3 linked regions of the Mus musculus genome follow. The protein of the gene in region 2 binds, or shares a complex with, the protein of the main gene of each other region. Links are inferred from orthologs where the notes say so. Each region holds a gene or a part of one and is shown on either strand. Other genes may lie near its edges.

What was found.
Region 1: the proteins of Stx17 (region 2) and Snap29 are in contact, whole or in part, in a crystal structure (PDB 4WY4), measured with the Homo sapiens proteins. The link is inferred for Mus musculus from reciprocal best matches to the Homo sapiens genes STX17 and SNAP29. Residues at the interface, in NP_060389.2 of Homo sapiens: Glu170, Trp172, Glu173, Leu175, Glu176, Leu179, Ile180, Ser183, Val186, Thr187, Phe189, Ser190, Val193, Asn194, Gln196, Gln197, Ile200, Ile203, Ala204, Val207, Asn208, Ala210, Ala211, Val214, Glu215, Thr218, Leu221, Gly222, Ala224, Ala225; in NP_004773.1 of Homo sapiens: Arg52, Thr56, Ser59, Thr60, Arg62, Ser63, Leu66, Glu69, Ser70, Val73, Gly74, Ser77, Glu80, Leu81, Gln84, Val87, Leu88, Thr91, Met94, Val95, Lys97, Met98, Asp101, Leu102, Ile104, Ser105, His108, Ile109, Ser111, Ile112.
Region 3: the proteins of Stx17 (region 2) and Vamp8 are in contact, whole or in part, in a crystal structure (PDB 7BV6), measured with the Homo sapiens proteins. The link is inferred for Mus musculus from reciprocal best matches to the Homo sapiens genes STX17 and VAMP8. Residues at the interface, in NP_060389.2 of Homo sapiens: Ser171, Trp172, Thr174, Leu175, Asp178, Leu179, Glu181, Leu182, Leu185, Val186, Phe189, Leu192, Val193, Gln196, Glu198, Lys199, Ile200, Ser202, Ile203, His206, Val207, Ser209, Ala210, Asn213, Val214, Glu216, Gly217, Thr218, Asn220, Leu221; in NP_003752.2 of Homo sapiens: Gly9, Val13, Leu16, Gln17, Val20, Glu21, Val23, Lys24, Met27, Thr28, Asn30, Val31, Ile34, Leu35, Arg37, Gly38, Leu41, Glu42, Leu44, Arg45, Thr48, Glu49, Leu51, Glu52, Ser55, Glu56, Phe58, Lys59, Ser62, Gln63.

Annotation. Positions count from the first base shown.
Region 1 is NC_000082.6:17,423,228-17,433,352, reverse strand, and holds the end of Snap29 (synaptosomal-associated protein 29), read right to left. Parts: intron 6,317-10,125; coding exon 6,212-6,316; intron 5,211-6,211; coding exon 5,053-5,210; 3' UTR 2,527-5,052; downstream 1-2,526. UniProt on the Homo sapiens protein: SNAREs, soluble N-ethylmaleimide-sensitive factor-attachment protein receptors, are essential proteins for fusion of cellular membranes.
Region 2 is NC_000070.6:48,128,023-48,138,147, reverse strand, and holds part of Stx17 (syntaxin-17), read right to left. Parts: intron 6,386-10,125; exon of another isoform or gene 6,384-6,385; 5' UTR 6,322-6,383; coding exon 6,199-6,321; intron 5,811-6,198; exon of another isoform or gene 5,610-5,810; intron 493-5,609; exon of another isoform or gene 341-492; intron 1-340. UniProt on the Homo sapiens protein: SNAREs, soluble N-ethylmaleimide-sensitive factor-attachment protein receptors, are essential proteins for fusion of cellular membranes.
Region 3 is NC_000072.6:72,385,537-72,396,259, forward strand, and holds the start of Vamp8 (vesicle-associated membrane protein 8), read right to left. Parts: upstream 5,132-10,723; 5' UTR 4,941-5,131; coding exon 4,938-4,940; intron 2,885-4,937; coding exon 2,726-2,884; intron 118-2,725; coding exon 1-117. UniProt on the Homo sapiens protein: SNAREs, soluble N-ethylmaleimide-sensitive factor-attachment protein receptors, are essential proteins for fusion of cellular membranes.

The sequences.
Region 1 (10,125 bases), on a different chromosome or scaffold from region 2:
GCCTCAAAACGGAACTGCCTGCAGCCCACACTGGCCTTTCCCTCTCCACAGACCTACCTCTTAAGTCTAAACAGGAGGCAACAAACTATGACCCACTGGCATCATTTTCTATCTCCCATGAAATGAAAGATTCTGATTTTTAAAAAAAAGATAGATTTATTTATTTATTTATTTATTTATTATATGTAAGTACACTGTAGCTGTCTTCAGATACTCCAGAAGAGGGCATCGGATTTCATTACGGATGGTTTGAATCACCATGTGGTTGCTGGGATTTGAACTCCAGACCTTTGGAAGAGCAGTCGGCGCTCTTAACCACTGAGCCATCTCGCCAGCCCCCTGATTTTTTTTTTTAAAGTGGATGGAAAATAAACAATAGTTTGTGAAATAACATTCAGTTTTTATGTTTATAAATACTGTCTGACTGGAACACAGGCACTCTCATTTGTGTATTGTGGATGGTTTTGTGCTACTATGAGAAATGGACAGTGCTACAGAGACCGTAGCACTATGGGCGTGGCACACTTTTTTTTTTTTTTTAAAGATTTATTTATTATGTGTACAGTATTTTGCCTGCATGTATTTCTGCATACCAGAAGAGGGCACCAAATCTCAAGCCACCATGTGATTGCTGGGAATTGAATTCAGGATCTCTGGAAGAGCAGCTAGATGATCTTAATTGCTGCTGAGCCAGCTTGGAAGCCTAGCTTGGAGCACTTAAATTTTTGTCATTTCAAGAAGTTTTCTATCCCAAAGTCATAAGGCTCAGGCTGGTGAGAGGGCTCACTGTGTAAAGGCACCTGCCTCCAAGCCTAACCTTTGGAACCCAAATGATGGAGGAACCAACTCCTGAACATTGTCCTGACACCTCCACATGTATTATGCTGGGGCACAAGAACAATACGCACACGCACACATGCACGTGCGCACACACACACACACACACACTTTTTTAAAGAGAGGACCTGATGATGATGGTGTGGCCTTTTAAACTTAGACTTCAGCCTTCAGAGCTGTGAGCCATGAGCTCTCTGTTACCTCCTCTGCATGTTTAGTGTAGTGAAACTGGTAACGATAGACATTTCATCTTGAGCCACTGCACTAGAGAAGAGGTGGTAGCATTTACTGAGATGGATAGCTAGGAAATAAAAAAACAAATTCAGGTTAAAAAAAATCTATGTGTATGTTTTGCCTGGATGTATGTCTGTGTAACCTGTGTATGTCTGGAATGACAGATGGTTGTAAACTACCTCATGGATGCTGGGAATTGAACCTGGGTCCTCTGGAAGAGCAGCCAGTTCTCTTAATGATTATACCAACCTCCAAATTCAGAAACACACACACACCCTGAAGATAAGGCTCATTCAAGCAAAGCAGAAAACTGCAGAGGGGTGAGACGATGGCTACAGGTTGGACAAGCTTTCTGATGACATTGGGTTTCTGACTCACTTTTATCTTTTCAGTAGTAGTGGTGCTGGGGATTGAACCCATGGCCCTCTATGTGCCAAACACATGCCTTACCACCTGGCTATCTTCAACTTAGAGGGCTCCTAAATGTGGCCTCAAGGACCAAACACATTAACTAAGGAGGGTTCCCCCCTCCACCCATGATTTGATAGTGGCATGTAGATAGGTTCTGATTAAAAATTAACCTCCTGATACTCATCTTCTGAACTGAGGGCTGGGGGATGGAAGCTAATCTGACAGGACAAAGACTCTTTCACCTCCTGCCAAATGAGTGCCTTTAATGATGGCTTTACTTTTCTGCCTTTTTTTTTTTTTTTTTTTGCCATGGTCTCATGAAGCCCAGTTTGGCTCTCAATTTGCTGGTAGTAGCTGATGGTGACCTTGAACTTTTGATCTTCCTGGCTCTACTCCCCATGTGCTCCAATTACAGGGATGTGCTCTCATGCTCACTGGTAGCTTACCACTTTGTATATAAAGGCTCATTCACTGGACTTGAAGATGCTTAACATCAGTAAACTTCAAAACTTCTACAGAACGATCAGCAAAACGGCCCAGCAGGTAAAGGCCTTGCCTCTAAGCCTGATGATCCGAGTTTGATCCTGGAACTTAAAGGGTGGAAGGAGAGGACCAACTCCTAAAAGATTCCATGTCCCCTGGAGCTCATACACAGACATACAAATAAATGTAAAACAAAACAAAATAAAACAAAAAGTAAAACTCTTTAAAAATGTCCTGCATAGGGTTGGGGAAGCTTGCCAAATGACAAGCATGGGGACCTGAACTCAATCCACAGATCTTGTGACCTGTGTAAGAAAACTTATCAAAAGCACACATATCCTCACTGTGTGCTTGAAATCCCAACACAAGGGAGGGAGAAAGGGTGGCTTGGGGTTTGCTGGTGAGTTCCTGGCTAGTGAGAAAAAGTGGGCAGGGCCTTAGGAACAACATCTGAGGTTCACCTTCTCCCTCCCTCCCTCCCTCCTCCCCTCCTCCCCTCTCCTCCCCTCTTCTATCACACAGGCACACCTCTCTGAAGAAAGGGGCTTAGTCAAGCAAAGTAGATTTTTTTTTTTTTACTGAAGTGATACATTATACACTTAAAATTGCACATTTATAAGAAGAGAAAGGGAAATTAAGACTCTCTGCTCTCTTGTTTTACTTGTTACATGAATGAACATCAGGCCTCTCCTACAGAATGAGGAAAACCAACTGAAGACGTCACTCTAATGCTGCTAAGTTACACGTCAGTAACGGTTAGTCTTCTCCAGAGGACAATGCACTTGTTTTGGTAGCACACATACACATAGCTAACCTAAAGTTACAAATGCCACCTTTCTGAAGGTAGGGTGCTTCAGTCTGTCTTGCAGACCTCACATGACAAGGATATGTTCACTGGTCTGTGAGACAGAAAGTCCATTCCACTTCTGCCTGCCACCTCGCCAACACTAACTCTTCCTAAGCCAGAGCGCAGGAGTGAGTCTTTCTTCCCTCCCTCCCTGCCCACCTTCACCCCCCTCCCCCCGACACACACACAACCACTGATATTCAGGGTGAGACAAGATCTCACCCTGAACCTGGAACTCATGGTTACCCTTCTGCCTTGGCCTAAGTGCTGTGATTACTGTGTCAGCCAGCAGATCTGGCTCTGGAGTTTCCCCAAGTCCTTTGTATCTGTGTCTTCCAAACAACCCTGCTTTGTAAGGCAGCATCTGCCTCAGCCAGTCTCCAGCAGGCCAAGGGATAACTTCAGTGGACCACAGAGTCTGAAGAACAGACTGGATGAGGACCTCTAATGGTTACAGGAAGACTGTTTCATGTTCATGGAGCAAAAAAAGATTGGGAAAGGGGTGATTGGCTTCATTAATTTAGCAAAACAAAGAAAGGTACATAAAATGTCCCTTTGCCTCAAGTTAGCTGATTTACACTAGGATGACCATGGAAGGCATTCTCATGTGTAAATTTCTTAGGACTGAGGTATATTGATCAATTTCTAAAAGGCTATGCCTGATAGTGATGAAGAGAAACAGTTATAACACTTGGAAGGTTTTATAGAAAAAAACAAAACAAAACCAATTAGTGGAAATACATATGGATCAGTCTCTCTATATTGTTTGAGACAGATCTTAGTATATCGTCCTGGCTGTCCTGGAACTCACAGAGGTCCACTTCAGTCAGATTTCAGATTTGGGCCCTTTCTCCCTGTGGTTGCTGTATTTTCAGAAAGGTTGGATAATTTTTGACAAGAGTGTGTACATATTGCTACATGAACAGTAATAATCCTGTTACCCCATTTTCTGATCCTCTCCTCAATGGTGGAGACCAACCCCAGGCCCCGAGAGAGAAGAGTAGATAACTGACCACTGAGATGAACCCACTGCTTGCTTTGCTTTAAGGTACTGCAGACTCCAGATGCAAAAGGAAGGATCCTCAAATGGCACATGAGCCAAGTTTTAAGGCAAGAAGGCACCAGCATTATAGATTTTGACATATCTACTAGTAAGTCTCTTTTACCTTCTTCAAAATATGTGAGTTTGATTTTAAGATAGTCAGGTGTTCTGTGGCTTCAGTGACTTTATTGGCAGTACAAGGAAAAATTCTTGCAAGAATCAATTTTAATTAATACTTCTAAATATTTTCTTTTGGAAACTGAAGGGAGTGGACACAAGCTAGCTAAGATAGTCTCTGGGCCTTTTGGTCGAATCATCTGACAGACAGAAGGTTAGCATCATTTGTGGAGTCGAAGTCCCTAAACTAGGTGGAACACTTCGTAGCTATGGAGAATGCATGGGAATCTGGGATGGATGAGGAGACTCCAGGCACCGAATAAACAAGGCCTTTGGTTCTATTCCCAGAGGCAGAGGGCTCAGTAATACTCCATGCACACAAACCAACCTACCAGTTGGCTTTGAGCCAGTGGAGAAAGTCCCCATCAGAGATGGAAAGATGAGGTGAGAACAGGTGAGAAGAGGGGCCTAACAGTTCTGCTCTGAGTCCTTCTGCTAAAGTGCAGGACAAGAACAGAAGATGGGGATAGGGACAATGAAGGCAACACATTTCCGTTCTGTATGAACATGGATCCTTTTCAGGGGAGAGAGCTGCCATGTGCTCAGTGTGTGTGCAGGCATGTCCACAAGACTTGTCATATAAAGATGTGGAAGGACCTGTTCTTCTGTCACAAACCCAGGGTCCTTTCACATCTGAATTCACAGTAAGGCCTCGGAGTGAGAAACATAACAAATGGGTAAATGAAAGGCAGTAGTTCTGACACTCTGCCCGTGGCTTTGCAGACACACATGAAATCAGAAATGCAGTACTTTTTCTCCTTCCAGCATAGTGATCAAAGGCTCAAGGTGTTCACAGTTACTCAGCTTAGACTAAAACTCAGCAGAACAGCTCAATAATTTTAGAACTACTGGTCTTACCAAATGTGGAACACACATTTTTTCCCCCATTGAAACTAATATTTCAAAGACCCACATTTGAAAACACGTTATATTATACACTTGTAATAAGTGACATCCATGAGTTTAAGAGAGCCTTTCGAATCTTCTCATCAGGATGGAGCAGAGTTCCTCCTCCGTGTCTCTAGAGTTGCCGCACTTTTTTTTCTGTGCTTTTTATATTGACATCTAGCTTGTCCACTTTGGTTGTCAGTCGGTCAAGGATGTCATCCTGTTCCTCAATTTCTGTCTGCATTCCCAAGGCTATGTCCTTCAGGTGGCCTAATCCCACGGACAGCTCATCTGTGAGAAGGAAATGACAGGCTGTCACAGTGCCTCTCAACTACAGAGTCCTGCCTGAGAAGCTGTGTGCCACAGCTTGTAGCATATGTTTCTCAGAGTACACAGAAGTGAAAAGAAATATATTTACTACACAGTGATATGTGGTGAATTTGGTAGAGACCACTGTGTATCTCCTCCCTCTAGACAGCCACTGTTAAGGGTTTGCTTTTTAAGTACAGTCTTGATCTATAGCTCTGGCTGTAGCTAAGCAGTCCAGGCTGGCCTGGAAGCCACAGAGCCCTCCCTGCTTCTTCTGCTTGAGAAGATTACAGGGGTCACTGTTACACTGGCATTTCCGCCCTGCATGCTGGAGAATCAAGCACAGAGCCTTGCACATGCTAGGGAAGCACACTGACACTTAGTCATATCCTTAGTCTCTCTACACTTTCCATTTCAAGACAGGAGCTCACAGATTTTCTAGGCTGGCCTTGAATTTGCAATCCCGTCTTAGCCATCCAGATAGCTGGGACTAAGCTTGGCACACTATGTTTCTTGACGTCGCTGGAACCTGAGACCTTGTGTTTTCTGGAAAGTAAAATAAAGAGTCACCCATGCCTCATGAAACTTCTTGGGTTTGAGGACAATAAGGACAGGAAAAGAAGGCTGAGATAAAGTAGCTGGTTAGTTTTGGGACATGCCTCAGTGGGTCTGAGCACTTGCCAAGCAAGCATGAGGACCTGAGTTCAGATCCTTAGCATCCATGCAAAAGCTGTGTGGTTTATCCTGGATGCACTTAAGCCCCAGAGACGCCTAGGTCTGGTCTGGATTCACATGAGCAGTGGAGATGGCTTGGCTGGACTGATGTAGGAATGGAGAAGTGGACAGATTCCTGAGGTGTGAGGCAGTGAGAGGGACATGGCTGTGGGGTGTGACTTGCATCTACACAATGAAGTGTCAGTGCTGGGTGCTCTTGCTGTGCTCAGCAGAAACTGCCTGGAGGCTGTAGCAGCTCCCATACTTACCTAGGTTGCTGTCAATCTTCTGGTGATAAGTTCGAAGGGTCGAGTTCTTTGGGTAAACCTCAGTATTCACAGTAGAAGAAGGTTCTTTGGGGACCGAGTCTAGTTCTGAAAAAATACCAGAGGCACAGTTGTTGCTGTTTCATGAAATTGGTACATGCTTTTTGAAAGTCCTAGGGATATGTCCCTAGGAACACCAGGAAAGGACTAACGGGGTGGGAGAAAGGAGGTGAAAGGCTCTGAGGCCGTGCAGAGGAACAGGAGTGGGAACAGGACAGGTTTACAGGCTGGAGATGACAGGTCTGAGCTGGTCCCTCAACATTAACAGATCAAGGACCATCAACTTACAAGTCACTTGGTTAGATATGTAAAAAGATATATATATAACAGAGGAACTGTCAACGCAAAACTGCAGGCTCACAGGTGGGCTCTAGGGACAGGCTGTTTTGTTATTGTAGGGTTTTTTTTTAATTATTATTATTCTGATTGAAACCAGGCCTTGCGCATTCGAGGCAAGCACTCTTTTGTCGAGGTATCCCACAAATTCTTACCCTGTGTGTGTGTGTGTGTGTGTGTGTGTGTGTGTATGTGAGAGAGGGGGAGGCCTTGTTATGCTGTACAAGCTGACCTCAAACTCTGTGTTCAAGCTATTTCTGAAATAACTGGGACTATATGGGCATGCTACTACACCTGGCCAAGCTAGCAGAGATAGATTAAAAATTACCAGGTGTGGTGGTGCATGCTTGTAATCCTAGCACATGGAGCAAGATGAATTAGAGACCAGTCTGGGATAAATGAGGCTCAATCTCAAAAGAAACAAAATAAAATAAAACAAAACCATATAAAACCATACAAAACACACAAAAAAGCAAAGATCAAAATTGTTGTCTGGTGTGGTGATTTGTAGCTGAAATTCCAGCACTTGGAAGGCTAAGGCAGCAGGATCATGAATTCAAAGCCAGCCAGGGGCCGGGCGTGGTGGCACACGCCTTTAATCCCAGCACTCAGGAGGCAAAAAAAAAAAAAAAAAAAAAGCCAGGGCTATATAGCAAGGCTGTCTCAAAGAAACCAGAGGAAATGGAGTTATGTTACAAAATTAAAGATTTTTTTTGTTCTGTTTGAAATTGATTTTTATGTTGTCATTTCACTTTAACAAGCAGAAAGAAAATGCTAGGCAATGTATGTGTGCCTAAGAAATGTTCCTTGAAATTTCATTTCTAAACATATACTAAATATTCTCCCTCTTCTTTTGAGACAGGATCATATGTAGCTCAGGCTGGTCTTGAACTTGGTAAGTAGCGCTGAGGTTGGCCATGAACTACTGACCATCTGTCTCTATCTCCCAAGTTGTGTGCTACTCTCTCTCTCTCTCTCTCTCTCTCTCTCTCTCTCCTCTTTCTCTTCTCTCTCTCCCCTCCCTCCCTCTCCCTCCTCCTCTCCCCCTCCCCCAGACAGTTTCCCATGGTGTTCCAGTCTGGACTTGAACTCATGGCCATTCTCTTGTCTCAGTCTCCTACATGATAGGATTAAGTGTAAACCACCATTCCTATTCACTAGTTTCTCTCTTTGGGGGAAATATCTCTTAGTAGGTTTAGCATGCAGTTGTCCCTGACTATCTGTGTGCGATTTGTTCCAAGATCCTCCTGAGATACCGAAAGCTGGGGATGCCCAAATTCCTTGTGTAATAATACAGTTTCAATGTATCTCTCATATATGAAATCATTTCTGTATCACACAATATTTAAGCAAAGTCAGTACTTTGTAAATGGCTGCTTTATTGTTTAGGAACTAATGAGAAGAATCAAAATCTTGTACAGTTCAGTTGGCATTTGCCCTCCTGCCTTGCCTACAGTGCTTGGATGCTACCATACTGGGCTATGATTTTTGTTTGTTTTCTGAATATCTTACACCATCAGTTTGTTGAATTAAAAGATATGGGACTAGTGATACAGAGGATCTGACTGCATTTCCTCCAGCACTAACTACTGAAGCCAATCTCTCTATAGAATGTCTGTTTCCTTTTACCCTTTTAGCATGTGCCACACAATAGATAGCCACTTTTAATGCCCTCAAGTTATGTCTTTGGATGGAGGATCTTTTTGTATTTCTTCAAGGCATGACAGTGAAATGGCTTTCCTTGGGCCTTGTACATTTCAGTTTTCTCTTTCTTCCTTGGTTTGAGCCTTTCCAGAATAAACTGTGTTTACATCAGTCTGTCTTGACTTCTGACTCTTCCTTCATCAGGTCTCTCTGTCTGTCTGTCTCTCTCTGAGACAAAGTCTCCCCATGTTTTCCCAGCTAAGCCTGGGACTCACTGTGTAGCCCAGGTTGGACTCAAAGTTTCACCAGTCCTCCTACTTCTGTCTCCTGAGGGCCAGGATTGTAGGTGTGTCTACCATGCATAGCCATCAGGTCTCTCTTATTTGTTCATGTGTGGTGTATATGCACTTATGTGTGCAAGTGAACATGCATAGTCATACAGAATTCAGAGAACACTGAAAGTGGCCTCCATAGGTTCAAGTTTGAACACTTGGTTCCCAGTTGCCTCTATGCTCATGTATAACAACATGCCTGGTAGTATGGCTAGTTTTAATGGCAACTTGCCACAAATTAGAACCACCTGAGTCCCCAAAGAACTATCCAAATTGCCTTGACTGGTGTGGGAAGATTCCCCCATGCAGCACCTTCTGGTATCCCAGAAAAAATGGATTTGCCCTGTTATCAGGCTGCTGATTCCCTCACTGATAGCAGAACCAGCATTTCCAAGCTTTCATTTTCAACTAGGGAGCAGGCTTTGCAGAACCTCCAGGCTTCTGTCAGAGACTGGGATGACTGAAGCCCAGCCTGTAGACTCAGTGAGCAGTGTGGTTGACTCCTGGTAAGAGATGTCTGTTGCAGGACTCCTCTCACTGCTGAGGCCTTCAGTCGCAAGGCCTGAGTAAGTACAGGGTCCTCAGCTCTCAGGTGGGATTCTGCTGCTGTTACCATTGTAAGCTGTTTCATTAAATTCTGATACACTTCCTCTAGAGAACTCTGAGGACCCTAGCATTTTTTTGTTTGTTGATTTGGTTTTCCAACTGTGAAAGATCTACATATTGAAAATGGACCCAACGTGGTACCTCAGAATAAGTTAAATACACAAGCATATTCTTTTGCCTTTAACTTATTCATGAGCCCTGGGTACAGGTAAACACCTCTAAGGGCCATTTTACTTAAAACAAGCACTGTTCCTATAATTGGTTTTTTGTTTGTTTGTTTTGTTTTGTTTTGTTTGGGGGGGATGCTTTTTGTTTTGTTTGTTGAGGCAGAGTCTCATATATCCCAGGCTGCCTGCAAGCTCAACATGCAACAGAGGCTAGCCTTAAACACTGATTGTCCTGTGGGTTAAAATGGGTGGCCTGAGTCTGGCCCAGGGCTCGGGCTGCTGGGTGAGGCAGGATGCAGGAGACTGTGTGCACCCCACACCCCACAGGGCTGCGAGAAGCCGCAGGACCCTGTCCCAGGGATGGGGAAGCACAGTCTGAGGTTCCCTTTCCAACTGCTGGGGTTTGGCTCTTGGGTCCCCGGGCCACACAGAAGCCCGGGACAGCAGGTTCTAGCACTTGGATACCACAGACACAGCTCAATGTTGGAAGAGCTGAGAATGGAGTAGGGGCCCGTGGGGCTGGCTCTGGCCCAGAGCCAAAAGGGAAAGGGTAGGAGGAGAGCTCCGGCTGGTTTCTGCGGGGAGGAAAGTGTCCTAGGTTTGCTCGGGCAGGCTGCTTGGCTTGGTGGAGACCTTGGCTAAGAACACAGAGAGGCCTCCTGCAGGAGATTAGACACAGCTCTTTAGAGGAAGACCTGTTCCATTTTCCCCTGTTGGATTCTGTCGAAGGGTTGATTGTCATGGTGAAGAGTTGTGAAGAGTGAAAGCACAC
Region 2 (10,125 bases):
TAAATGCCAAGGTCTACTGCACAGTGCTGTGCCAAGATTGTGTGCTTATGTCTGAGGTGATGGCATTAGTCAGTGTATACACCACAGGAAGTACCAGAGTTGGGGTCTGAACAAAAAACAAAGCTTGAGTGGTAGCGGATGGTAAGGTGCATGCCATTACAAACATAAGACAGAAAGCCAAGCTTTTCGGTGCGCCTTCTATCTTCCTCTACCCTCTTTACAGAGGAATTCAACTTCAAAGTAGAAAAGTTCTAATAAGTCATTAGGAGGAAATAAAACTACGTATGAAGGAACATGCCTGCAATCTCAGCTAACCAGTGAGCTGAGACAGGAGGATTACCTGACATCCAAAAGTTCAGGACCAGTTTGGGCACCTTAGGGAGATCCTATCTCAACAACAACAGGCTTAGGGATACAGCTCACAGCTGCAGTGCTTGCCTGGCATCCAAGAGGTTCTGTGTTCTATCGTTAGCAAATTCAACCCCTTCTCTCCTAAAAGAAAAAGGAAGGAGGGAAGGAGGGAAGGAAGGGGGGAGGAAGGGAAGGGAGGGAGGGAGGGAGGGAGGGAGGGAGGGAGGGGAGAAAACCAAGAAAGAGTAAACCTACTCACTTCAAATGAGCTCAAATCAACAGGCACAAGAAAATGACATCTGAGTAAACCAGGAAACCTTGCAAATACTTATGTATATTTATGAAGAACTGGAGAAATTCCTAATATTTGCAAATGTTGACCTAATTTCACAAAGAATATATATATATATAAAATGACTGACCTGGGCTATAAATATTAATGTAAATCTTCAGGCAAGTGTTTACAAAATTAGTTGAGAGATGGAGATGGTGTGAGAGACCAGACCTTGGGGAACCAGAGACCTTGTCCCTTTTCTGTCTAGCACTCTCACTGATAACTTCAAAATAAAGAACATATAACTATCAAATTCACAGGTGACATAAAAGAAGGATGAGTTAGCACAGATGAGAGGTCAGTGCCGCACTTGGTGACAATTACAATGATGTGCATATGAGGTTCTGCCGTGGAGCCAAGAGAGTGCCCTTCTTGGAAGTGCACTCTCAAGAACGTATACATTAGACATATGTACTAACATAGCAACCTCCACATATGCAGCTGATCTGCTCTCAATGTCTCTCCACCTACAACGTAACACACAGTGCAGTGTGACAACGCAGGCCTGGAGTCACAGCACTGGGGAGCTAGAAAAGGGAGGTCCAGGGGTCAAGGCCAGCTGGGGCTTACATAGTGAAACCTTGTCTCAAAAAGCAAAACTTAGGCTGGTGAAATGGTTCAGCAGGTAATGGCTTGGCCCTAAGCCCAAGAACTGAGTTTAATCCCCAGGAGCCACACAGAAGGAAGAGAAAGGACTCCAAAGGTTGTTCTCTGATCTCCACATCTACACTATGGCATGTGTGTCCCCGTACATCACATTAATAATAAATAAACATAAAAAACTAGAAGACAAAGCATCAATAATATTTGACCTATAAATCTATTGAAAAATGAAATGTTATAACATACGGAAACCTGTAACATAATTCTCAGCAAAGAAAAGCAGCGGCCTTTGCTTCTGCTGTCATTATTTACCCACATCTCAAAAAGGCTGGAGAAGTGATTACTGCCTCAATGGCATTATCCCTTAATACAGTGAATTTCAAAAATGAAAAGGAGAAAAGAATTCACATTGCTATTGCCTACTATTCAAGTTTATGTGAAATTAGGATATACTATGAAAGTTATTATCCCAACTATTTGGTGGGGCGTGGTAGAAAGTAGGGTGAGTTAATATACGTAAAAACACTAGAAGCAGCAACTTTTAAATTTGTAGTTAAGTTTGGGCCACTGGCCAGCACCTCTACACTGCTGGCTTTTATAGGAGATGGTCTTTGTCTATCTGCACAGCAGAACAGGCAGGTAAATTAAGGCAAAACTACCACATTATGCTTTGGGTTGCAAAATACAGAAACACGAACTTTAAAATGGCTCCAACAACAAACACAGAAAGCAGCCAAGAGTGTAGCAGTCATCCCAGGGATGTGACAGTGGTTCAATACAGACATTAAAAGGTTGTCACATGCCTGGGTGCTGCTTTCTGCTTTACTACTTCCAATAACACCCTCGATTGTGCCCTAATCCAGCTTGGTTGGCTATATTTCCAGATTCAACAGGAAGACACAGCTAGACCACTGGAAGAAATGCAAATGTTTCCTTATATGTATATCTTTTTTTTAAGTAGGAAAATATTCCTAGAAGTTTCCAAATTTCTACAAGGCAATCGATCAAGGTTCACTAGCCAGAACTGTGAGATATAGCTATATCCTTGATAACCAAACATGGACAAGAAGTAAATGATCACATTTACCAAATCCAGTATCACTCCCCATGTGAGTTTGGTAAAGGAGACAGTCACAGGATGGGAGGGGATTCGCTCTGATTACAAACTAACAAGCAAATATGAGCAAGTACATAAGTAGCACAGCAGTATCCCTGCTTCTTTCATTCGGTACTGCTGGGTGCTGCTGGGTGCTGCTGGGTACTGCCGGGTACTGCTGGGTGCTGCTGGGTACTGCTGGGTACTGCTGGGTGCTGCTGGGTGCTGCTGGGTACTGTTGGGTACTGCTGGGTGCTACTGGGTACTGCTGGGTACTGCTGGGTACTGCTGGGTGCTGCTGGGTGCTGCTGGGTGCTGCTGGGTGCTGCTGGGTACTGCTGGGTACTGCTGGGTGCAGGCGCATGCTGACTGTTGAGTCCACGTCTCCCACTCCACACACAGTCACATGCTGCCTCCATCATTCTTGATTATTTCCTATCTTGTGTCTTTAACTGAACTGCAAACTTCTTGAGAATTGGAAATCTATTTTTACATATTATTCAATGCAAACAATCTGAGAAACAGCAAACACAAAGCTAATATTTATTTCCTGTAATAAATAATCTTGTTTCTCATTAAACCTGGCAGATTGAATGTGAACATTCATCTCTGCTCAAAATCTCAGGCAAGTACAATAAAGAACATTAAGAAGTAAAAATGCACAAGAGCAGCGAGAACCCAGCAGAGGACACCAACAGACGAGAACTTTTATGCAAACTTCAGAAGCTGGGAAGAACATAGACACACTGTAGTGGATTCGGCAGACCAGCCAGAGGGACAATTTTGAGGCTGCAGAGGTGACTGGGAGTTCGGGGCAGGGGGTGCTTGAAGGCCACAGGCACCTGTACTCCAGGAAGGGTGGGCATCCAGAGCTACTAGGTACAGGCAACTCCCTACAGAGTGTAGTAGGGAGAGAGCAATTGTTGGGAGTTGCAAGTAGTTGCCACATTACATCCCTACATGCTCAAGCAACTGTCCATGACCATGGACGATAACCCTCTCTGCAGGGCCAGCTGGGGATCCTGGACTCCAAACCTAATAAGGACAAAGATGAGATGGGATACTGCAAGCAGCCCGGGCCAGGAATCCCTTGGTGCTCTCTGCTGTCTTCCTGTTCACGTTCCTTCACTTAGGTCAGATGGATGGTCATATAATGCATAGTACACTCAGCCCTCTTAGCCCCCCACTTTATCCCTACTATAGCCTCACCTCTGATAAAATAACTCCAATAGGTAGACTGCAGTTAAAACACAGGTATTAAATCTGTAAACAGGCTGTGTCAAGATAGTGCGTTTAATATGAAGTGATGACATTACAGAGCATACCCCACAGGAAGAATCAGAGCTGGGAGATTTGAACAAAGAACAAAGCTTGGATGGAGGGAAATGATGGGGTGCATGTCATTAACAGATGTAAAACAGGAGGCAAATGATGGGGTGCGTGTCATTAACAGATGTAAGACAGAAAGTAAAATTATTCAGCGCCATACTTCCTGCACCTTCTTTACTGAGGAATTTACCTTCAAAATGAAAAAGCCCTAATAAGATCATTAGGAGGATGAAGCTTGGTGTGAGGGACATGCCTGCAGGTAATGGACAACTTCCACCGCCATGAGAGATGAGACGGAGGCAAATCCAAGGCAAACAAACTCCACCTTATCTGATAAGCCACTTAGGGGGTTTCTGCCACTTGCATCTTACCCATAAACTAATTCACAAGAACCCTGTGTACATCCCACACAGTATGTTTCTCTTTAGATCCCAACAATATGAAACAAAGACAACTGTGTCCCAAGTTGGCTACCCTGCAGTTCCTCCTTACTGGACTACACCTCTCACACATTAAGGCTTCAAACGTCAGCATCCCATGCTAGCAACACTCATCATGTGTCCAGGGTCCCCCTGCAGGGCTATGCACATGGCCCAGGTGTCCCCAGCACACTGCTCTCTTTGTTTTCATTGTTGCAGACTCACTCTACAAAAGGCTTACCTTCAATTTCCCTTCAGTCTGGCTTTCTTCTTTTAAATTCATATTGGATGACTGATGGCCAGAATAATAAATATTTTATCTTTCTACACCTTTTCCTCAAGAAGAATATGCCTCTTTTAAAGTAAGGCACGTAAGACACCTGGAGCCTGAATTTAGTTCTTAACTCTTTTGAACAGAGTGAGGGGCTGCAGTTTTAAGTGTGCTTCATAACACAGCCTAGCCACCAAAATGCACCATTCAAGCCTGTGCACAGAAAGAGGAGTTTTCATAAGCAAACTAGAAACCCTGCAGACAGTGAATGTTCAAGGATATTTAAAGACAAAAGCATAAATCAGTATGAGCCTACTTTCTTGGTTTTAGACATTACCATCTATCTGTCCAGGATAATCATCTGATAACGTCTGAAGGTTTCATAATAAGCAAAACTGCTAAAAGAAACATGTTCAGGCAAAGCAGGATCGATGGCACTAACTCCAGGGTAATTCTCTTACTACACCTTGTACAGCTAATCCAATCACCAATGCATCTAACCCTATTCCCTATTCCTCCGATTTGCTGTGGGGTTCCCCCTTTCCCATTGATAGGATCACATACACTTGTAGCTAGGATTGAAGGGCAATGACAACAGGCATTTCCATGCAAAATGAGAAACATATGTTAAATGTCAAACTTAGAGTAGGACAATAAAGGGGGAAATGGCTTTAAGAGCTCACAGACCTCTTGTTTCTCCCTTTCAGATTCAGTTCATCTACCTAATTCTTATCCTTTGTAATGGAGAAATATTGAAGCTGACGTGTTTACTTTGGATTGCTCAACTCAAGGTAAAAGGTTTCATTAGCCGTGTTTTTTTGAGCTTTCACTTTCTTCCAGTGCAAGAAGCAGTTTAGCAGATACTTCCTTCTGTATCCTGATGCAATAGAGCCATCGCTTATGCTCCATATATAAAGAAGAGAAGAAATGGGGATGGAAAAATATTAATCCTGAATTCTAGAAGACTCCTAGAGAAAGTTTCATTGTAGACATCTTAGAAATTAATTTTTGTGTTTTTTAAAAGCACTTAAATACTAGAAAAATCAGTAGAAGAAAAACTTTGGTATTTTTAGTAAATACAGCTGATACTGAAAGGCTTAATAACCACACCATCCATTCTAACCCTAAAATAAAAATAAAAATAAAAATAAAAATAAAGAAGTAGAGGTAGACACAGCTCAGTGCTGAAAGCAGATGACAACCCACCTTTCCAAGTCAAAGCTCAGTTCTCAGTAAACCTGAGGCTTCGGTAAACATCACAGGCCCACATCACACCCTGGCCAGGGCAGGGCCTCTGAGCAGCTCATCTGCCTTGGCAGAACTTCTCAATTTGGATCCTTTGTCAAAGAGAAGCAGTGAAGAAAGGAAATTCCCTCACATCACACAATTGTTTACATCGTTTACATGTGCACCTGAAGAGGATAGAAGTTCTTGATAGGCACAAGTTCAAAACACTAGCCATGGGGTGAATGAGATTAAGGCAGGTCCATTAGCCACAGCACCCCACCTTCACACTATGGGGCACCATCAAACAGTGTGATTTAATTACTATCTAAGACCTCCACATGTAAATTAAAAAGGCATAAACTCTACTCCCATCTCCCTTCCTCAACATAATAAAAGGAATATTTGAGAATTACAATTGTGAACTTGAAGACCAGTTGAAAAGTAATGCTGCTATAAGCAGGGTGGAGGGGTCTCAGAAAAGCCTCAGACTCTCCTTGTAGCTGAAACGTAGACAGCAAGGAAGAACCCACACAGGTACCTGCTTCTGTGATAGAAATGAAACACTCACCTTCTCGATGTTTATCTGGTGTTTTCTTAGCCTCTCCAGGTCTGTTGGGATCACGATCTTAGTGAATTTCTGTATCGCTGGCTCAAGCCTGCGTAACTTCACCTTTTCCTCATCTTCAGACATCCTGAAGCCTGATGAGCCGCTACTTCCTCTTGCAGCAGCTCTCTTCTCTCAAACAGAAACACCTAAAGGGGAACATTGAAGAACGCTTTTACAACAGATTCCGTTCTTTTTAAAAGTAAACACATACAAGGCTGGAGAGGGTAAGAGCACTGGCTGCTCTTCCAGAGGAACCAGGTTTGGCTCCCAGCACCCACGTGATGACTTGCAACCGTCAGTAACTCCAGTTCCAGGGCGTCTGACACCATTTTCTGGCCCTTTCTGGCACTGCACATATAGTGCATAGACATACTCATAGACAGACACTCATACACATAAAATAAAATTTTAAAACATAAAAGGCAAAAAATATGCAATTATACTTTACTCTAAATACATATAAACCCAAAACTGAACGTGTATAGCTTTGTTTCTCTATGAAATGATAGTTATTAAAATATTCTCTTCATGAAAATTGTATCTAGTCATTCCTGAACACTTTTCAAATAGTGTTCATTTTTACAGCACAGGCAGGATGGACCTATGTAAGTCTAGCCTGGCCTGGGAAGCCCAATGCTCCTGCCTCTACCTTCCAAGCTTACTCTAGAATGTTCAGAAAATGTGTATAAATGAGAGACCACAAGATGGCTCAGTGGGCAAAAGGGCTTACCACCAAGCCTGAAGACCTGAGTTCAATATCTGGGACCCACATGGTAGAAAGAAAGAACTTATTCACACACACACACACACACACACACACACACACACACACACACAATTAAAATACAATTAAAAACTTAAAGAAAATACGAAAATGAACAGAGTAAAATGAAGCTGTCAATGACCTCCTTATTCTGCAGCGTCTCCTCTACATTTTGTGGCTGTTTCCTGAGGTCTTTTATAATGTGCAGTATGTGTGCTAAAAATGAGGATGGCAGCTGGGCGTGGTGGTGCACACCTTTAATCCCAGCACTTGGGAGGCAGAGGCAGGCAGATTTCTGAGTTCAAAGCCAGCCTGGTCTACAGAGTGAGTTCCAGGACAGCCAGGACTACACAGAGAGACCCTGTCTCAAAAAACCAAAAAAAAAAAAAAAAAAAAAAGACAGGAGACAATTCAATAAGCCATGCTCTCTTTCTTTAAAAAAAAAAAAAAAAGAGGATGGCTTCCTGATATGTTTGGGCACAGAACAGCCATCGTTTTAAAAACTGCCAAATAGCAAACCTGCAAGGAAAAAATTCCCTCTTAACATTTCTGCTTGTATCAAGCTCCACTTCCAATGTCATCATAATGTAATTGTGTAATTATATACTTCAAGCACATTTCACAATACAGAACTCCTCTCACGGAAGGCCCTTATCTCCTCTTCTTAGACGAAGTGATCTACTAAGTAACCAGCAACAGAACTCCAATAAGAACCGTACTTACAAGGCCAGGAGATGGCTCAGTGGGAAAAGGCGCTTGCTGCCAAGACACAGCCTGAGACTGATTCTCAGGTCCTACGTGGGAGAGAACTGACTCCCACAAGCCTTCCTCTGACCTCCACATGCACACCATAGCACATGCATGACATAGCACATGCATGACCTCCACATGCACACCATAGCACATGCATGACACACACAAATAAATACATATACTTAAAAAGTCAAAGAACCAGATTCTCTTCAGACATATAAGTATGAAGACATTATTCTGGGTCACCGGGATTCTATGGCCATACTGAAAGTCCTAGCATATGCCTCTGGGAACAGGACAGGAGAGGTGGGAGCTGGAAGTGAGCATGCTCTAAAACCCCACACTGGCATTAACTGGAGACATTTACTTACAGCAGTTTTATAAGTTTGTACTTGTAACAGATCTTATATAAATATGTGCTTCCCTGCTTAACCAAGCTTGAACACCATCAAATGATATCATGCCTTGATGTCACCCCCTTAGCCCATAGTCATATTGAACATGTAATTCTGTTGGATTATGGCTTCTTACCCAGGCCTTGTAAAGATACACTTTTACACATAGACTCTGTGAGATCCTGACTCTTTAGGATTCATTATTTTCAGATTCTCAAAGAGACCTAATGTCCCCAAACATCAAGAGCTGCTTTAAATAATGCGCTGATTTTCTCCTTTCTTTCAGTTGAAAATCTTCAAACAATGGCTATAGTTAAAGCTGCTTCCCTTACCCATTGGCTAAGAACTTTTTTTTGTTTTTTGTTTTTGTTTTTGTTTTTCAAGACAGGGTTTCTCTGTATAGCCCTGGCTGTCCTGGAACTCACTCTGTAGACCATACTGGCCTCTAACTCAGAAATCTGCCTGCCTCTGCCTCCCTAGTGCTGGGATTAAAGTCGTGTGCCACCACTGCCCAGCAAAGAACTTGATTCTTATGCCTAACACAAGCTCTCAGGGAAAATTTCCAGGCACCAAGATCAGGGTTAAAACTGAATCAGAGAGCAGACATAAACTAGAGACACATGGATAGAAGTACAGTATCAAAAGAAATAGGCTCAGACCACAGCAGAAAATAACAACAGGCAGATACAGAGATGAGAAAGTGATTCAGAAAGAAATGTCTATTCCTAAATCTACAAAGACATATAAAGGAATAAAATTTTCAAAAGGACATAAAGGAGTGGGCTCTTTTTTTAAATTAAAATAATGCTACAAAAGAGTTAACAGTCCAATTGGTACATGAGAGGAATTAAAACTTTCTAAACTGAAAACCTCAAAAGATAAAATAAATAAGAAATCACACCTAGCTGGAGAGAGGACTCAGAACTCGGACGATGACAAGATGAAGACTGTAAAGGAGAAGATAAAGGACATAAATTCACAAGCTCAGTAGCAAATAGAAACGGATACAAAAAACAGCCCAAAGAAAGAATTTAAAGGAATTATGCTGAGAAGTAAAGGCAGATGTCAAGTTTTAAAAATGCATAAATCCTGCTAGCATAAATAAAAACAAACTTACCTAAGCACATGATAGGAAACTCAGAGCATCAAGGACAAAGAAAAAGATCTTAAAGAGCAAACCAGAGATAACAGATAAATTAAAACAACAAAAGCAGCCAACTTTTCATCAAAGCAATATATCAAAAGATAGGAACATCTTCAAAGTACTCGGGAGCTGGTGCATACCTAGGCAAGTTATCATCTGTGGTGAAGCCAAAATAATTATTTTCAGGCATGCAAGGCTCAGTTTAACAAACTCATTAAAAGGAGAGAGAGGGGAGAAAGGGAGGGAGGGGAGAAAGGGGGAGGGGGAGAAAGGGGGAGAGAAAGCAAGCTAGAAGGGAGAGAGAGACAGAGGGAAAGGGTGTGTGTGTGTGTGTGTGTGTGTGTGTGAGAGAGAGAGAGAGAGAGAGAGAGAGAGAGAGAACGAACACGCACATTTCTTTTTGGCGCTCTCCAGGATCCCCAGAGTCTGTTAAGGCATCTGGTATCTGGGAGGTAATGATGTGGTCACTAAACATTCACTGAATTCACCTTTTCCCCTTCAAAACACAAAACAGTGCTAAGGATTATGAAAAAAAAATTATAACAATGAAGAAAATAAAAGGATGGAATGAAAATAATAACTTATTGCTGGGTTGACTAACTGACTGACTGGGTTTATTCTGAATAACCTGACCAAGTATACAAAAAAATGTTACCATGTAAACCTTTTTATTACATAGTAGCATAGTATTACACTGTGTGTGTCCCATAATCTAATCATCCATTGTGAGTTATTTAAGATGATCCTAATTTCCTACTACTATAAACTACATTCTGATTACCCTCCTCACACATAAATCCATATTACCTCCTATGACGACTTAGGTAGCTAAA
Region 3 (10,723 bases), on a different chromosome or scaffold from region 2:
AAGTATAATGAGGATGACGATGATAAGGACAATCACACAGATGATGACAATCATCTTCACATTCTTCCACCAGAACTTCCGGGCCACCTTCTGGGACGTTGTCTTGAAGTGTTCAGACTGTTGGGGATAAGATAAAGTCGTGAGCTCCTGCCCTCAGACTGAGAGTACAGACGGACACCACATGCCATAGTATAGATGTTTACATTACATTATAAATCGAAGTAGGAAACGGAAAAAAAGACGCTGGAGCTGGAGGATAGCCACTTCGAAATAAAAACACAAATAAGTGAACAATTCTTTCCTCTTACAATAGGAATGGAAAGGTTCTTAAAAATACTTTATAACATGTATTTGTGCCTCTGCCTTATGTGCCACACTGCCCACGTGGTGGAGAGGGGTCGACTTGCAGGAAATGGTTCTCTCTTCTCCTCTGTATGTCCTGGGGATTGAACCCACGCAGCCAGGCTCGCTGACAAAAGTCTTTACCCACTGATCTCTCTCTGGTTTTTTTTTTTTTTGTTTGTTTGTTTTGTTTTGTTTTGTTTTACTTTTGAGACAGGGCCTCACTAAGTATGCCTGGATGGCCAGGAGCTTCAGAGATCTGTCTATCTCTGGCTGCTTCACAAATGTCTTTCTACAACAATCTGTAAGCCAAGTTCTAGTTTAGAATTCTTGAACTCATAAAACTTCCCTCTGAGCATAGCAGGGTCCCTTCCTTTTCTGTTTCTATCTTTCTAGTCGGGATCTCATACAGCAAAGCCTGGCCTCCACTCCTTGTAGCAAAGGATGACCTTGAACTTTTGTTTGTTTGTTTGTTTGTTTGTTGTTTGGTTTTTCGAGACAGGGTTTCTCTGTGTAGTCCTGGCTGTCCTGGAACTCACTCTGTAGACCAGGCTGGCCTCGAACTCAGAAATCCACCTGCCTCTGCCTCCCGAGTGCTGGGATTAATCCACCATGCCCGGCGACCTTGAACTTTTAAAAACAATATTTATTTGTTTGTTTGTTTATGTGTGTGGTGTGCACAAGCCACAGTGGAGGTCAGAGGTCATTTTATAGGAATCAAGACTACCAACCATATGAATCCCACAAATGGAACTCAAATCCTTAGGCTTGGTACCAAGTGTCTTTACCTTTTGAGCCATCTCAATGGCCTGGCTTTGAACTTCTGATCCACTTGCCTCTACCTTCAAAGAGTTCAGATTACAGGCGTGTGCCACAATACCATATTTATATAGTGCCAGGGACTGAACCCAGGGCTTCGTGAAGTCTAGTGAAGTACTCTACCACCTGAGTCTTATGTCCAGTCTCCCTTCTTTTTCTTGCCCCTGCACTAACCTGCATACTAAGGGGTCTTTTACAGATATATGCTCACAATTGGAGTTTGTTTGACTGGTAGAGAAATCTGGCCTTTGGAGCACAGACCCACAAGCTAAGGGGTACAGGAATGTGCTCCAGATGGGCACATGTCCTGGCTCAATGATACTTTGCTTTGTCTTCTGAGTTCTGTAGAAGCTGAAGGAAGAACCAAAGCACTGCAGAAACTTAAAAGAAAGAGCTGGGCGTGGTTGCGCACGCCTTTAATCCCAGCATTTGGGAGGCAGAGGCAGGTGGATTTCTGAGTTCGAGGCCAGCCTGGTCTACAAAGTGAGTTCCAGGACAGCCAGGGCTACACAGAGAAACCCTGTCTTGAGAAAGAAAGAAAGAAAGAAAGAAAGAAAGAAAGAAAGAAAGAAAGAAAGAAAGAAAAGAAAGAAAAGAAAGGAAGAAAGGAAGAAAGGAAGAAAGGAAGAAAGGAAGAAAGGAAGAAAGGAAGAAAGGAAGAAAGGAAGAAAGGAAGAAAGGAAGAAAGGAAGAAAGGAAGAAAGGAAGAAAGGAAGAAAGGAAGAAAGGAAGAAAGGAAGAAAGGAAGAAAGGAAAGGAAAGGAAGAAAGGAAGAAAGGAAGAAAGGAAGAAAGGAAGAAAGGAAGAAAGAAAAAAGCCTCCTGCTTCTCCAAGTTAATACAGACACTAAGTCTCCATGTGCCCAGCTTATGCTGCAGGAGGCACTAGATTCCAAGATAACCCAATGGACCCAGGAAGCCAGTGTACTCCACAGCAAGTGAAAACTGAGGCCCCAGCCTTGGTTTGTGTTAGACTTTCTTCTGCCCTGAGCAGCTTGGCCTCAGTCCATGGCAGCAAAGAGGAGGTCTAAGCAAGATGTGTGGGAGATATTATTTTGGCCTTTGCACACAGGGATCCTGGGGTTAAAGGATTTCATTGGTCTTCCCAGCTGTGCTTTAAAGCGGACTCAGCAAGACGCCCCCCACCAACTTCCAGCCTAATTACACCTGGAGGGAGAATGCTGAAAGGCCAAGGGTTGCCCGGAACTCATAACTTTGCCTTTGGGACATCAACTCCAAATGGTTGCCAAGGGCAAGCTTTGAGACAAAAATCAGTTTCATACCCCAATGAAGCTTAGGAATGGAGCAGTTGACTGAACTGTCTCAGAAATGGCTCTGTGGGTGGGCCCCTCACCCAAGCTCAAATCCAACCACTCACTGGGCTCTCTACCAGCCAGCAGAGTAGCAAGGAAGCAGAGGTGGAACCTCAGCCATCTCCTGCATAGGCAAAAGGGCAGTAGACATGACAGTCTGCAGTCCCTTCTGTTCACTTTGCCTCCCCACCCAAACTTCTCCCCCTCCCCGAGATCTGCCCCCACCAACTCCCAGTTTTCTCCCAATCTCACCGTGGCTTCCAAGTCCTCTGTCTTGTTTCGGAGGTGGTCCAGGTTCTCCCCTCTGGCCAAGATCCGCTCCACATTCTGGGTCATAATATTCTTGACTCCCTCCACCTCACTCTGCAGGTTCCTAACTCGGTCATTTCCGGCACTCCCACTGGCCTCCTCCTGGATGTCAATAAGGGGTTAATTAGGCCGGGCAGCAGAGGATCCAAGAGGCCAGAGGAGGTTGGAAGAACTAAAGTAGATTTTAGCCGTTTCTGATGCTTCAACTGTTTACCAGGAGAATGTTCTACGTAAATGTTCACTTCGATGCAAGCACGTTTATATCCCAGATCAGCCTCGGGTGGTCAGGTGTCACTCCTCCCTTGTTTTTTCCCCCACAGGCTGGGTCTCCTGTTGGCCTGAGGCTCTGAGATTAGAGTGGACAAAAAGCCCCAGGGCTCAGCCTTCTCCACCACCCTAGCACTAGGAGCCACCTAAGTGCTTGCTTGCACCACCACACCTGGAATTTTTTTCCTTCTAAATGGGTCTAGGGATCCAATGCAAATCTTCATGCTTGCGTAGCAAGCCCACTGAGCCACCTCCCCAGATTTATTTATCTGAGGCAGGTTCTCATATAACCTAGGCAGGCCATAGGCTTCCTAAGTAGGATGGCCTTAAACATCTGACCCCCTGTCTCTACTTACCCTGGGCTGGGATTCCAGGTGTGTACCATTATCCTTGTTTTATGAGGTGCTGGGGATGAAACCCAGAGCTTGACGCTTGCCAGGCAAACACTCTATCAGCTGAACCACATCCTTAGTCTGTCATAAGTGCATTGTGTGTGTGTGTGTGTGCTGGGGAATATACGTGTATGCACATGCCACGGCACGCATGTGGAGGTGAGAGGACAACTTTCATGAGTGGATTGTCTCCTCCAGTTGGATGGGCAGGAGAGAGCAGGATACTGAATTCAGGCAGGCAGGCTTGCTCTGCAAACACTTGTACCTGCCCAGCCATCTCGGCTGCCAGCCATGTAAGTGCATTTTTTAAGTCCCAGAAGATGAGGTTTGACCCTGGATTCTCATCCACCTTCTTTGGAGGATTTTCAGCGTGACAAGGAAAAACAAAAAAAAACAAAAAACAAAAAACAAACAAACAAAAAAACAGCACACGACTGCCCCTGTCTTGACTCCACAAAGAGGGTCAAGGAGAAAACCCAGCTGACGTTTCCTCAGCAGAGCACAGCCAAGAACTATTAACTGGTTCCTGTAGCCTCCCTCGGCTCAATCCTAGTGGGTTCTCTCTAAAACTGTGAGAGTTGACCAGCAGCACACTCTTGCCCGGCCCAACCCAAATAAATGCCCTTCTCCAGACAGCTGTTGGTGAGTTCTGGTTCCAGCCTACTGGGCAGTGTAGCCCCGGTTCAGTGGATGTGGCCCCCAGAAGGCATCATGTGCCGTTGGACCATATACTTCTGCTTTCCCCACAATTTAACGCCTGGTAGGCCGCACACCACCGCCTGCTTATGCAGATATTAATAAAAGTCCTTCCTGCTGCGGTCGCTCTATCCAGGAGGCCTCTAGATAAGGCTTTTGAACAAGGAGGGAAGAGGCCTGACTCCTCCCTTAGGGACCCAGGGGGCCTCAGGTACCGGCCACGGGTGTGGGCTGAAGCTAGATTATCGGGAAGAACCGCCATCTGGCTGCTTTACAAACCCTTGGCACTGTTGCTAATGTTTCTAGAAAAGGGTGGTGCTTTTGGTGGCCAGGCAGATAGATCCTCTGGGTGTCTGCATAGATACAGTGCGAGGGTAAGGGGGAGAACTCCAGTCCGCGGGGCTGGAATCTGAGCCCCAAAGAGCAGGAACGCTTGTGGCCCGGTAATGTCACAACACCGGGCTCAGGCCCAGCTGGAGGAGGCGGAGGAGGGGGAGGGCGCGGCGCAGCAGCTCGGCTTGGAATTTGGGTCCCCCAACCCCCACCGAAATCCTGATCGGATCCAGCACCGAGGTCACGGGAGGAAGGAGGTGGAGAAGTGTCAGGAACCCCTGGCCCGGAGTGCGGAGCTATTTGTGGAGGAGTTGTCAAAAGTAAGGAGACAGAGGCAGCGCTGGCCCAACCCCGCCAGCCCTCTGACTGCCGCCAACTTACCTTTCTCGACACAGGCAACCCCCAGGCCCGATCCCCCTCTGGCAGCTGCTCTAACTCGCTCTTTTCTTGGTCCCCACGTCACTCACCATGTCTCGGAGCACTTGGGCCTCTCAAAGCAGAACTTCGCCTAGTCTGTTTCCACCCAAGGCAGCCACAGCTTCACTTCCTGCTTACTCCAACTTTCAGCCCGCCTCCTGACCATCCCGCGACTCCAGCCACTCCGGCTCCTGCCACACACGTAACTGCAGGTTTCTCCAGGTAGGCGGCTGCCCTCTGCTGCCGTCCTCCTAGTCTCCTCCCAAACAAAAGCTTAAGCAACAGGGTTGGGGGAGGGGGGAAGGAGAAAAGAAGGATCAACAGTCCTCCTAAGTTTTCAGAAACTTCTTTTATGCTTCAAAGAAGTAATTCTAGTTTTTCAGGGACTTACATTAGCATTATTTAGATAGAAACGAATGTACAGGCGAAGATACCTTGTTGGGCAACCTTTGTCCCCAAGGGCCATCCTGTATGAGAAGAGAGCTCTAAGATCCCCCAGAAAACGGGGGCTAGGGAGATGGGTCAGCAGTTGGGATCACCCGCTGCTTTTGCAGTAACCCAGGTTCAGGTCCCTACACCCACCCCTGGCTGCTCACAGACACCTGTATCTGCATCTCGGGGGGGGGGGGGGGGCAGGGGCGGTCCAGATGCCCTCTTCTGGCCTCTGTGGGTATGTGAACATACGTGTGCATACATACACACACATACACATAATTAAAGTCTTTAAAATCTCCAGGAAAATTCCAAGTTGGCCCTGGGGGTGGGATCTTTGTCCCCCTCTAATGTTCTTCGGGTGCTAAGGCTGACCTCAGGCAGTGGGAGGAGTGCAAACAGCAGGGGCAGGGCACCTTATCCTTGTCACAGGACACAGGACAGTCGGGGAAATGGCTCACTCACCAGCCCCTCCTTTCCTTCTGGAGTTGAGCAGTCCTACACTTCCTTCCAAAGGTCACCGTGGGGGTTGGTGACCCTGGTCAGTTGTCAGAGGGTTGTCAGACAGATTAGGATGGGGGCCTAAGAGTAAAGGGTTTTTCCACCACATGTGGCTCTCCGCCAGAGAAAATCTGCTCTTCTCCGGATGGAGTTTGTCAAGACAGAACAATAACAGGGCAGAAAGAGAACAGACATTCTTTCCCACCCCAGAGTAAATAACACCGTCAAGGAGGAAATCTTAGCTCCTCCAACAAATAAGAGGGGTTTTGTTTTGTTTCATTTTGTTGGCTATAATAAATTTAGAATCCCGGAATCATTTTGGGACACTTATGTGTTTTCCCTCGTGCCTGCTCAGGCAGCCATGGAGGAGCTATATCTACAAACACTGCACGCTTAGTTTTACAGAAGCAAATTAAAGCAACTAGTAACACTTTAAAAAAATCTTTAAAAATTTTTTTTGTTGTTGTTGGTTTTTTTGGGTTTTTTTTTTGGGTTTTTTTTTTTTTTGTTTATTTGTTTGTTTTTTTTTTCCGAGACAGGGTTTCTCTGTATATCCCTGGCTGTCCTGGAACTCACTTTGTAGACCAGGCTGGCCTCGAACTCAGAAATCCACTTGCCTCTGCCTCCCAAGTGCTGGGATTAAAGGTGTGCATCACCACTCCCGGCTAAAAGTTTTTATCTTATTATCTTTAAGTGTGTGTGTGTGTGTCTGTGTGTGTGTCTGTGTGTGTGTGTGTGTGTGTGTGTGCCTGAGGGCAGAGGGGTTAGGTTCTCTGGTGAGTTGCAGACAGTTGTGAGACACCTGATGTGGGTGCTGGGAGCTGGACCCTTCTATGCAAGAGTAGCACGTGCTCTTAGCTGTAGAGCTCTCTCTCTAGCCCCTAGTAACACCTTAAAGCGGCACAACTCCTTTCCTTTCCTATAAAGCAAAAGAAAAATCTAGAATAAAGAGGAATGAGATCACAACAGAGAATGTCTGTACTACACTTGATCTTAGGCAAAAGGTCAAGAGGCCTTGAGAATGTCCCCATCCTGCTGATCAAGGGCTCAGTGGTCACAAAGAAAGAACTGGGTCCTGGAGAGATGGCCCTTTGGTTAAAAGCATGTATTGTTCTTCCAGAGAACCCAAATTTGATTCCCAGCACCTGGGTCAGGCAACTCATTACTTGTAACTCTAGCTCCAGGGATCTGACGCCCTCTTCTGGCCCCACAGACCCTATTCATACACACAAACACAGACATACATAGTTAAAAGGTAACAGTAGCTGGGCAGTGGTGGTGCACGCCTTTAAACCCAGCACTTGGGAGGCGGAGGCAGGCGGATTTCTGAGTTCGAGGCCAGCCTGGTCTACAAAGTGAGTTCCAGGACAGCCAGGGCTACACAGAGAAACCCTGTCTCGAAAAAAACAAAAAACAGAAACAAAAAACCATAAAAAAAAAAAAAAAACTCTATATTTTAAAAGATTCATCTTAAATCACAAGGAGGTTTATAAGACAGAACCTGCCTGGGCCAGTGTGGTGACGAATGCCTTTAACATCTTGGGAGGCAGAGGCAGGGGGATCTCTGGGAGGCCAGCTAGTCTACAAAATGAGATACAGGACAGGCAGGACTACGTCTCAAGACCCTGTCTCAGTGTCGAAGGCTCTCTCAGTAGCAACAGAGTTTGCCTAGAATCGCCAAAGCCCTGGGTTCTGTCCCAAGACCTCCCACCCCCAAATGCTTGCTCTGTTCTTTTGCTGCCCAGTACAACGCTGACTCCATACGGCCAGTGAGCTCTCCCAGCGCTGCTAGTGAGAACGGAGGCTGGAAAATGCACAACAGATTACAGCAACTTAGTTCGAAAAGAAGAACGCTACTTTCATAAATGTCATGAACGTTTTACAGCCTTGTGCAGTGCTGCTCCAGAACTCAGGAATCTGAGCCGGGGCAATCACACATTCAAGGCTACCTTGGGCTACAAAGCCAGACTGTGTCTCCAGTCAATCATTCATCAATCAATCAGTCAGTCAGTTAATCAATCAGCCAGTCAGCCACATTTTCTTTCCTAGCTGGAAAGAGAGTCCAGTGCTCCCTGCAGTGCCAGAGGAGCCCTCGACCTCCCGAGCCACATTCACACTGCACCTCCAGCCTCTCTGCTAGAAAATGTAAACTACACAACTAATAACAACTTTACTCTTTTGTCTTTGGATTCCAGTGCTGGGGGAACCCAGGGGTTTGTGCACCATTAGGGAAGAATCTACTGTGGAGCATAGCCCCAGTCTCATTCTGTTTTTGTTTGTTTGTTTTAAGGACTTAAAGATGTTGGAATCCTGGGACTGTTGTGAGTCACCTGACATGGGTGTGGATGACCAAACTCAGGTTCTTCTGCAAAGGCAGATTGTACTCTCAACTGCTGAGCAACCTCCCCAGCTTTCTCTTTGGATTTTTATTTTATTTTATTTTATTTTATTTTATTTTATTTTATTTTATTTTTTGAGATGGAATCTCATAACGTAGCTCAGGTGGCCTGGAACATGATATGTAGTCCACGGCGGCTCAAACTCACAATTATCTTCCTCCTCAGATTCTAAATTTGGGGATTACAAGTGTGAGCCAAAATGTCCAACTGTCCTTTTTCCTCCCTCCCTCCCTCCCTTCCTCTCTTTCTCCCTTCCTTCCTTTCTTCCCCCTTTTCTCCCTCCCTACCTCCCTTCTTTCCTTCTTCCCTCCCCCATTTCCTCCCTTCCTTTCTTTGCTAAGGACTGAACCAAGAACTCTGAGGTAGACTCTGGGTTGGGTGTGACCCACTCAGGTTGTTTTTCTGTGAGGTTTTTGTTTCTAGAAAGAAGAGGTTTTTGTTTTTGTTTTGTTTCTAGAACTTCAGAAGAAATTAAAAGCTCAGTGGCTTTTCTGAGCCTGGGTTGTTACAAAAGTGTGATTTTTCCCCCCTTGAGACAAGATCTCATGTAACCCAGACTGGCATGGTACTCGCTATGTAGCTGACAACGATCCTGCTGTCCTCAGCTCACTGGTGCCCGGCTCACAGGCTCACAGGCTCACAGTACCATACTTGGGAGTGGGAACTCACCTTTGAGTTACAGTCCCTTTGTAAGGAATGAGGGAATAGGCTGGAAGCTGTGGCTGGAAGCTGTGGCTGGATGCTGTGGCTGGATGCTGTGGCAGGATGCAAGCCATGGCAGTGTGTTAAGGATGCTCTCAGTATCTAGTGAATTGGGCTTGGGCTTGGGCTCTCCTGATGTATGTGCTGGGCAGCTTTGGGCAAGTTTTCCTCTGGAACTTTCAGTTTCTGGTTCCCGAAATAGGAATGAGAATGAAGGCTACTTGCAAAGTCACGTTTTATGCCAGCATATGGCTCACTCCTGTAATCTCATCCTGAGAAAGCCAAGCAGGAGCCAGCCTGGACTACACGGTGAGCTTGGCGCCAGCCTTGGCTAACAGAGTCTCAAAAAGAAAAATGACAATAAAATAAAAAGTCAGGCATAGCACGACACTCCCATACTCTTTATACTTGGGAAGCAGATTGAACATGATCAGGAGTTCAAGGCCAGCCTCAGCTATATAGCTATAGACAGAATCTATCTCAAAAACAAAGCAAAACAAAAGCAAGTAAGAAAAAAAAACACAAGTAAGAAAAAAAAAGAGAGAAAATGGAATGAGGAACTAGGAAAGAGGGATATTGCAGTCTGAAGAGGCAGCTAGTTTCAGCTGGCTGGGTTATATGTCAGGACTTCATCTCTAAAATGAACAAAGAGAAGTTGGATGTAATGGTTCATGCTTTTAATTCTAGCAATTGATCAACACTGGAAACGGATCACTTTGAGCTGGAGGCTAGCCTAGGCTATATAGTGAGTTCCAGGCTGGAGTGAGAGAGTGAGTCTTATCTCACAATTTCAACCAAACAATTGCGCTTTAGACTAGATGTTGGGGAGAACCAAAAAGCATAGTCTCCTTTGGGTGACAAGCTCTCAGTCCCCTGAATGCCGTGCAGGAAGGCCTTTTGTTCAGGAGAAACGTGGTGGGTCTGCGGCATTTGGGGCTCTTGGTGGCCTTTACATGCTTTTGTTGTGCTGCTTTGTAGGGTAGCCTTGTTTTTTGCTTGACATTTAAAAATAAAACTATCTTGGGGAAAAAAATTAAACAACATAAGAACAAGGAAGCCGGTGCCAGACATGGTCACACATACCTGTAAAGCTGGAACTGAAGGGTGGAGTGGTGAGGCAGGAGAGCTAGCCTGGGCTACCAAGTGAGCCAGCACACAACACAAAATCAAGCAAGCATAAAAGTAAGGGCCCGGCTGTCGTTCTGTGATTCTCACCTCGCCTGACCAGGTCCAGCTTTGATCCCCGCACCACAGCTCGAGTTGTTCCATATCTTTATGCATTCTGGGTCATTTTACGATGTTTTTTTTTTTTTTTTTTTTTCTTGTCACCAACTCCAGCTTCCTAGTGGATGCCAGCACGGTCTCTTCTCTAGATGCATCCATTTCCAAACTCACCTGTCTGGTCCCATCCATTCCTTTGGAAAGTGCTTGTTGTGTTCCCCAAACACATTTGAGTAAACTCACCTTACCTCCAGGCTAAAGCCAGCCTCCCTATGCAGGCAATCCAAGTGTTCACCCACTTTCCCAAGCCCTCGTGAGGCAGCTTCAGCCCTACCCATGCCCGTCCCCTTCAGTTCTACCCATGCCCAGCCCCAGGCACCCATTTTTGCTTAATGGCTCCTTAACTTCTTGGACCTGTGGGAATTTCTCATATTTCTCTATGTCTGGAATTCCCCACAGAATTAAACTCTCTTCTTCCTCCCCCATCTCCGTCAGTTCCCTTTGGCACAGCATCTGTCATATGCGTGCACATAGCTGCATACACATTCTGCTTCCTCAAGACTTACATTTAAAAAAAAAAT